Tribolium castaneum: one gene and its partners. The protein of the gene in region 1 purifies or fractionates together with the protein of each later gene. This does not show direct contact. Links are inferred from orthologs where the notes say so. Each region holds a gene or a part of one and is shown in the gene's direction. Other genes may lie near its edges.

Region 1 (2,661 bases):
CTGCCAACAAACGACAATTTCAATCGAAAAACCTCGACCACACAAACAGCAAACACAAAAGACGTGAAAAGACTGCCAAGCAATCCTCAGCTGTTCAATGTTATGTTGGCGAAGCAAAACACAAAGAGCAGCTGAGCGAATCAATAATTCGCGACCTAGACTGTAAAGCACCCCCGCAGTGGCGCCACCCCTAACAACAGCCCCACCGATCGAACTCTCATTTCGAAACAGGAAGTGTTTATTTTAGCTCGGATTATTTTGGTGTTGGGCCAGATTATGACTGGTTTATAGCCTCCACAGCTGCACCAGCCTAATTTATTCTAACAAAAAACAGCATTGTTGTTGCAAATCATAACAAAAACACCAACATAACCTCAAAAACATACACACATTTTTTGTGCCAAACTCACCTGGAAAAGGCTGAATTTACATTATTTCGACGGTTTTTCACACGAACTAGCATAAACAGCACGAAACAACGTGAATTCTGGCGTTTTCACCACCAAAGAATATAAAGGTTAAGAAGTGACAGCGCCGTGTTATTTTGAGGAAACAAATTAATGCTGATAGCGCTAAGTGCGGTCGGGTGAGAAACTAAATCCAGCATATTGGAAATTGAAAAACCGCGCGCAATTTGAACATTGCGTATTTTATGTATGTACCCTTATTAGTTTGCATTACTGGTTTTATACAAAAATTGAATAAATATACCCAAAGTTTGTATATACAACCTGTAAAATTATTATCACTAAACACGGGACTAACAAATTTACACTATTTAAAAAAAACGGTTTTATTAATTATAGTAGTGCAAAATACATTCGAAAGTAAAACATATTGTGTAATTTTCTCATGCACAACTTAATTCATGCACAACTTAATTTTAACAGTACACAAAACTAGCACTTTACTTTTCCGTTTTATAAAACACTTCCAGTCTCACATAACATTCAAAGTGCACTTTACGAAGGTACAGGGGGAATTTGAAGGCATATACACCCTGACTTCTTTCCATTCTTGAATAATTGCGTTCCGTGATGAGGCAAACGCGATTTTCACACAAGAACCTAAACGACAACATGCTGATCTGTGACTAAAGCCAGTCTCACGACCACACATGACACACAAAAACATTATTTTAAATAAACCGTCAATGTTGTCAACCGTTTTACAAAACTGCGCATGCTAATTGTGCTTTATGCCTTATATGGGTTGACATTGTTGACAGTCCAGGGTGAGCACATAGCGCGAAATTTAAATAATGTTTCCTCTTTCTCTATGCAAGCGACACACCCGTGTTCACCACAAATATTACTTCTTGTGTGCTTTGTTGTATTACTGGTTGCCTGACGCGAAACTACAACCAACAACCACCACCGAAAAACACCAGAATTTTGAAATTATCCACCCTAACCAACTTGTACAAAATCAGAATGCAACAAATTGTTAACCTCAGGCAAATTTAATTCAATTTCCATTATTATTTATCCTTTACGTGTGTTTATCAATTTATTTGAGGGTGGGTGGTATTGACGCAAATTCCCTAGACTTGACGTTAGTAACCTCAAAAATTGAATTGAACACGTCAACCTGTTAACAAATTTGCAAAAACATTGTGAAATTGTAAAGTTACAGTGAAACAGCGGGTGAAGACCCGAAGTGAAATTTCCGGACGAGTTTGGCATAACCTTAAAGCTGGAATCGTTCAAAATGCGAAGGGCCCATGCCGGAAACTACTACGAGCCTCTGCCCCAAACTTCTAACGAAGTCGAGGAGGAAAATGACCGAATGGCTAATGAATTAAGGGACAAGGTTGGTGCACTGAAGTCCCTTTCGATAGATATAGGAAACGAGCTGAAATATCAGGACAAATTGTTGCGAGATGTGGATGACGATATGGACAGGACTAGGGGGTTTTTGGGGAATACTATGAATAGGGTTTTGCGGTTGTCAAAGGGGTCTCATAATTATTACATCGTGTATTTATTTTTCTTCTCATTGTTTGTGTTCTTTGTGTTGTATATTGTATTAAAGTTTAGGTGATTTTGACAATTTTGTATATAAGTGTTGGCTTTTGTATTATAGGGCTTGAAATAAAATTTGGATATGCATTTTTAGTTTTATTTTGTAACTAACAATATTGATTATGAACTTAAATCATAAATGGCTTTAGCCACATCCAAGTAAAATTACCACTAATACTTATGCCAGGTGAACTTGACCACGTTTAAACTTAAATATGTCCCAAAAACTAATAATAAAACAGGAATCAGCTTTGCATTATATAACAGATCCAGCAACCTAATCTAAGAAAATCACGATTTCTAATTAAATAAGAATTCTAAATTTTATGCTTAACTACACGTATTCACTTCAACTAATTGTTTAAGAAATTAGAGAAAAAATACCAATCAGAGTAACATTGTAAAATATTTCGTTAGAATATTTGAATGCATTTGCTGCAAAAGTGTAAATAAGGGGCTTCAAAAAGGTCGGCAACTGATAAAGGATCCCTTTGTTGCTAAATTATAATACTATCTTCAAATAAATCATGCGTCCGGTTTGCGATTAAATAAAAAAGAGCGATTTTTTAACCAACCAAGTAAAAATTTGTACTTGTGATACTAGGTACCAGGATGCAGGATTCTATTTGCTAGCAGA
Region 2 (2,799 bases), on another chromosome or scaffold:
GTCTTGAAGGCTTTACCACAGGTTGAACAGGCAAACGGCCTGGCGGCTGTATGTGTTAAAAGGTGGTTGTCCAGATTCCCTTTCTGGACGAAGCTTTTCCCGCATTGGTCACACGTGTAGTCCCGCACCCCCGCATGGATTCTCTTATGAGCCATGAGGTTGGGTTTCGTCCCGAATTTCTTGGGGCACTGGTCGCATTGGTGCTTGTTTTTTAATTCAGCGGGCAGATGCGACCTCGCGTGCACCATGAGGGCGGATTGCATGCGGAAGCGTTTGCCACACGTGGTGCACGCATGGGGGCGCTCATCGCCGTGCTCGTTCCTGTGCTTCTTCTGGGCCAGGACTGTGGGGAACCACTTGGCGCAAATATCGCAACAGAAGCGCAGTTTGACGCGGTGGACGCGCACGTGCGTGAGGAAAGTGCTGTATTTTGTGTAAATTTTCGGACAGTCGGCGCAAGGATACGTGGGGGCTTGCCCGTGGACGGTGGCGTGGTGCTCCCGGAGGTCCTCCGAGTTGGTGAAGGTGTGCTGGCAGTCGCAGCAAGCCCAAGGATAGGAGTGCCAACCGAGGAGCTCGGCCTTGGGGGTTACGGTGCCGTCGTCGTTCAGCTCCACGTCACTCAACTCGGAGTCACTTTCTTTTTTACGGCCGGTTTTTTTGACTTTTGGTGAAGGCTTAAGTACGATATCTTCCGTTTTAACGGCTGAAGATGTGGTCACTTCGACCACGTTCAGTTTGCTTTCTTCGAGCGTGAGCGTGAAATCGAGCTTGCTCTCCTGGTGGGCTGCTTGCAGTTCTGTGTTGACGATGTCCTGGAGGATCTCTTGCGATTTCTGGATGTGTTGATTGAACTCCCATGTTTGTTTCACCGTTTCGGCGCATAATTGGCAGATTGTTGTTGGGAGTTTGTCCTCGGAGGTGATTCGGACTTGAAAGAGTTGAAAAATGCGTAAAATGAGATCGAGATCATCGAGACTGTTTAGATGATCGGTGCCGAACTCGGCGCACAGACGGCAGCGACCCTCCATGACATTATATCGAGCAAAAACGGCCCCCCGGCTGAAAAATCGGAAAAAATCCGGCAAACTTTACATTACTTTTTTGGTCAATAATAAACAAACATGGCCGTTTGACACAATAGTGACATTTACGCATTTTTGTCTCCCAAAGACACAGACTAATTAATTAGCGAAAGCCTAAAGTTCGTGTCTTTAACATTTTGGAAGTAATTAACAATTCCGGTTGTCCCAAAAGTGGGGAAAATGCCGAGAAAAGTCGGAAAATTGAAATGGACGGTGCCAATCCCACGTCGCAAAATCCCCAAAATTGACAATCAGTCAGTGACAGATGACGCAAACGTCAACAACATGCTGTAACATCATCAAAATTTAAATTTGCAATGTGTCTTGGCTTTGCCCCCAATCATGGATACACTTTACCATCAGACCAACAAATTAATTCAACAGACGCAACAAAGCTTTCAAGCTTTGGAGCAAAACTCTGGCAACGTCCTCGAAATCGAAGCTGACATTCAAGAGAAGATTACCACAATTAATAGGTAAAAATCGCAATTTACCTCGTCACCCAATTAATAAATTATTGCAGTAATTGTGAAAAACTCGATGTTTATTTATATAAAGTCCCGATCGACCAAAGACCTAACGCGAAAATGCGCTGCGATCAGTTGAAGTATGATGCAAGGCACCTTCAGGCGGCCCTAGTGGCCTCTAGACAGAAAAGGGCACGACGAGAGGCTGCGATTAATGAAAGGGAACAATTGTTGAATCGCCGGTTTGCCCCTAATCCCGATCTGACGACCATCAATATAGACTATGCGTTACAGCACCAGAATTCATTACAGAATTCTCATAGAGGTGTAGACGAAATGCTACACACGGGGGTTAATGCGTTAGAGTCGCTTAGGTCGCAAAGACTGACTTTGAAGGGGGCACATCGTCGCATTATGGACATGGCTAATACGCTGGGGCTGAGTAACCACACAATGAGACTAATCGAGAAAAGGGCCGGTGAAGACAAATATATACTGATACTGGGAATCGTGATTACGCTTTTAGTGATTGTTTTTGTAATTGTGTATTTTACATAGAGAGGTGACACATTCCCTGGTTGTTGTGAATTATGTAATCTTGATTTATTAATAAAAAATTAATTCGTTTTGGTTGGGTTAAATATTTGGGATTGGCAGTGAAGGGTAAAGAAAATGCGTGGTTGTTTGATTGCTAGAATTTATTTCGTCCCTCTTTCCGTTCTTTAACAATAAAAATAAATTTTCTACAAAAAATACTCGATAAGTCTATTTTATAGTTTTAAATTAATAAGTGTGAACTATTTATGTGGTGGGGTTATTTGAGCCAGTACGATTTCTAGTTAATTTATAGACAGGGAAAAATCGTACCGATCCAACGGGATCGCTTTTAAAATTTAATAAATGCCCATATCACTTTGTATTTGTGAAAAATGAAGCCGACATACGATTCAAACGTATACTTGAAATAGAAGATTGTTAGATCAGCAGGCAAGGCACATTGTCATGATAGTTCCTACAGTTCCGGGAAGAATAACAAAGTGATATAGTTAACAACAATACTGAATATAACAAGCATTATATTTTAATTCTTAAATCAGGTTAAGTGTTTTCGTAACAAATTAAATCAAAATTTCTATACTTTATACAACATTAAACAGAAATAAATATTCTAAAAATATCAGTCGTAAAGAAAAAATCTATCTGTACATCATGACGTCAGAACTTTGGTACATGCAAATATAAGCATC
Region 3 (3,192 bases), on another chromosome or scaffold:
ATCGTGTGCTGTGCTATATCCCGGAAACCAGGACTGGTGTGACCAGCAGAGACGCTCAATGGTGTCGCTGGGGAATCACAGTTCAAATTCGAAATCGAGCTCGAACTTGACTGGGTCCAGTCACTCGAGTCGGCATGGCGACCGCCAGAGGGACAACTCGCAAAACTCACAACCTATGTCTTTCACCCAACAGTTGCAACAATGCACAAGGGGTGGCAAAACGAGACCGTTGAGTAAATTACTATCGCCGCTGCAAAGCGAGCCACAGAGTCCCATCTACGCGTCGCCGCCGCTCAGTCCCGTTCACGACACGCCTAACATGTTCGGTACGTATGTACAAAAATTACAGGAATCTGTAAAAAATTACAGGAACCTGTACCGACTTTGCCAAAATTTCAGAATTTACAGGCGCTATGAACATCTACCAGCCGGTGCTGCGGCATAACAACTTCGCCAAGGCGCCCGACACGCATTTCGCGCGCGACACCCACATGCGCATCATTCTGGGTAACTCGAGCGGTATCGGCGTGGGAAACAAGAAGGGTGACCAGCAGAACAATGAGTCGAATTCGAAATCTAGGTGGGTTTGTAACTACGGTTGGTAGTCGTGTTTGACGATTGTGTGTTAGCAGTCAGAAGCCGAAACGTAACGGTATTGTGACGAATCCAGCGCTGCGATTGGTGGCGAATGTGAAGAATGGGCTGGACACGGCCGCCGCCAACTTGAGGAAATCAACGTCCGGCGCGAATCCGAGTACAAAAACGAACAGTTTTCATTGGAGGAAAGAAACGCCATTGTAAAATTAATTGTTAAGTCACTGCGTGAATTACTAGTCAATACTATACGGTGGGGATTTTTTCGTTTGAATGTTGCCCTGACAGGTTTTTAAAACGCTAACAACACTCACCTAGTCTTACCTATATCAAAGATTTAATTTTTTATTAGATTATCGAATGGTTAATCTAGTAGCGACATAACTCAGATTCTAGGCCTAAGTTTGTTCAACGATGAGTTTACTGAAATCAGTTGTGATAGAGACGTAGTTTAGTAAACAGGTAACAATAATTCAAGGCTTCAGTTCAGTTCTCTCTCGTAAGATCTCATTTTGCAAAATATATTTTTGTATGTTTGGAGTTATTTTCGGGTATTGTGTGTGTTTCTCTTCAAGCAATTCGCTGTTTCATTCAATACGTATCAATTAATGTATGCCTTTTTTGTATTTACAATAAAACAGCTTTAGTTTTATACTATTAAAGTTGTGCACTGTATATGTTCAGAACAGTATTAAACTTGAAATATTTAAATAAATACATGTAAAAGTGTACAAGTTGCAATTTTATGTGATTCCCCTGTTCTATCCCACTGTTCCCTCATTTCCCATACACATTAGTTAGGGGATTTGCTCGTATGCGCCGTGCGGTTGGCTGCACTTTTTCCAAATCAGCAGCAACATGGCGGCGGCTCTTTCATACGAAGGTAAATAAACAATTAATTACACCTTAATTAAAACACGTTAATTGTTACAATTGCGTAAAATATTAGCCGGGTATTGCGTTTTGAGGTAGGGCCCCCTTGTCTTGTTTCAGACCTCCGCAAACACGCGCGCTACTTAGAGAACGAAATCGACTTAAAACTCGTCGCGTTTAGTAAACTGGGGGCCGGTATCAAGTCGCCCCCAGCTCATTCGAGCTCCGATGCTGTGCCCCTTCTCTCAGGCGAGGACACTTTCGAGGCCATGTCTCTCGAAATTGAGGAATTGTTGAATAAAGTAAGCGGGCCCCCAAAAAATCACCCCAAATAACAATTCCTTACAGTTAACACAAGTTAACGACAGGATGGGGGAACAGCCCGTCTCGGGGGCTGCCATGCTGCACACCCTCCAACGCCACCGTGATATTTTGGCCGATTTATCGCGCGATTTCCGAAAGACTACGTCCCAGCACGAGATCAGGCGAGAGAGGGAGGATTTGTTAAGGGGGTCCAGTGATACGTTCAGGGGCGATGGTGTTAATAATAGGCGCGATATGTACTTGAAGGAGAATCAACACTTGCACAGGTGAGTGGAGTAGGCTTAGGATTCGACTACGGAGGACTATGAGTTAGGAGACGAAACAAAATCGTACCCGGAAGAGATAGTTCGGCGGTGTCAAAGTGAGGGCGCTGCGAGCGCCAAAATGCAGAAGTTGAGCTTTGCACTAGTTTACGATAAAAAAAATTGTCGTTTCGTCTCCTAGCCTTTGGATTTGCGCAGCCTTGACTTGGGTTTGGTTCTAGTTCAGAGCGGTTGGTTAATGAGCAAATTTCCATTGCGATGGAGACTCGGGAACATTTGACCAATCAGAGACAGACGTTTAAGCGCTTGCAGACGAGGTTTAATGATTTGTCAAATCGGTACCCAGTCATCAATAGTCTCATTCAGAGGATTAACATTAAAAAAAGGAGGGATTCGATTATTTTAGGGTTGGTCGTTTCAGGGTGCACCGTTTTGATGCTACTTTACGCTTTCCATTGACTCTAACTGTGATAATTTTTATTGTATCAGAATATCTAACCAAAAATCGAGGGTAGTGTTAGTGGCGGTATTTATATTTGTTATGAATAAAATGATTTTTTTAGAGTTGTTTAAACCCTACCTGCACCATCCTATTGACAGACCAAGCGTAATTAAATATTTTATTGGCAACTAATTTTAAAAGTTACATTCTATGATAGTTGCTAAATTAAATGCAAGTATCTATGTTTACTTTTACAAATATACCAAGAACTAATGAGTTTACAATTTAGAGATTAAAACCTAAACAAACGAAAGATTAAGAAGCTGTCCCACTGCATGTAATGCCCTGGCTTAGAAAATATCATAAAGGAACTGTTATATCTTTACAATTAAATACTCGATCTTCTTATATACAGTTATAACATCAAAAAGTGTAAAGAAATACATAATAGTGAAAAAAATTATGTACAATTTCCGCAATGTTTTTAGTTGCAACAGTTTAGAAAAATATTGCGAAAACCAACAACATTCTACAGAGTCTATACATTAATGGTATATAAAATAAAATAGTCATTTTTTTGTGTACGTCAGTACCTCCCTAACAATTATTGTACAAGGATCTCAATTTTACACCTGGAAACATAGATAACATGGTTACACGGTCGTTAATTAAAGGTAATCCCAATCCGCGCGAAAA

Evidence for each region.
Region 2: the proteins of Bet1 (region 1) and Membrin purify together in Homo sapiens (affinity purification with mass spectrometry; 3 studies listed by BioGRID and IntAct, with this or other methods). This does not show direct contact. The link is inferred for Tribolium castaneum from reciprocal best matches to the Homo sapiens genes BET1 and GOSR2.
Region 3: the proteins of Bet1 (region 1) and Gos28 purify together in Homo sapiens (affinity purification with mass spectrometry; 3 studies listed by BioGRID and IntAct, with this or other methods). This does not show direct contact. The link is inferred for Tribolium castaneum from reciprocal best matches to the Homo sapiens genes BET1 and GOSR1.

What each region holds. Positions count from the first base shown.
Region 1 is NC_087395.1:4,198,531-4,201,191, reverse strand, and holds Bet1 (BET1 homolog), read left to right. Parts: upstream 1-1,559; 5' UTR 1,560-1,710; coding exon 1,711-2,043; 3' UTR 2,044-2,111; downstream 2,112-2,661. Other genes in the region: tripartite motif-containing protein 2, read right to left, coding at 411-463. UniProt on the Homo sapiens protein: Required for vesicular transport from the ER to the Golgi complex. Functions as a SNARE involved in the docking process of ER-derived vesicles with the cis-Golgi membrane.
Region 2 is NC_087398.1:4,981,129-4,983,927, forward strand, and holds Membrin (probable Golgi SNAP receptor complex member 2), read left to right. Parts: upstream 1-1,274; 5' UTR 1,275-1,427; coding exon 1,428-1,561; intron 1,562-1,608; coding exon 1,609-2,110; 3' UTR 2,111-2,178; downstream 2,179-2,799. Other genes in the region: gastrula zinc finger protein XlCGF26.1-like, read right to left, coding at 1-1,031; ubiquitin carboxyl-terminal hydrolase CYLD, read right to left, coding at 2,749-2,799. UniProt on the Homo sapiens protein: Involved in transport of proteins from the cis/medial-Golgi to the trans-Golgi network.
Region 3 is NC_087401.1:15,407,966-15,411,157, forward strand, and holds Gos28 (Golgi SNAP receptor complex member 1), read left to right. Parts: upstream 1-1,370; 5' UTR 1,371-1,452; coding exon 1,453-1,477; intron 1,478-1,587; coding exon 1,588-1,769; intron 1,770-1,815; coding exon 1,816-2,057; intron 2,058-2,275; coding exon 2,276-2,513; 3' UTR 2,514-2,618; downstream 2,619-3,192. Other genes in the region: ankyrin repeat domain-containing protein 50, read left to right, coding at 1-326, 400-580, 630-801. UniProt on the Homo sapiens protein: Involved in transport from the ER to the Golgi apparatus as well as in intra-Golgi transport. It belongs to a super-family of proteins called t-SNAREs or soluble NSF (N-ethylmaleimide-sensitive factor) attachment protein receptor.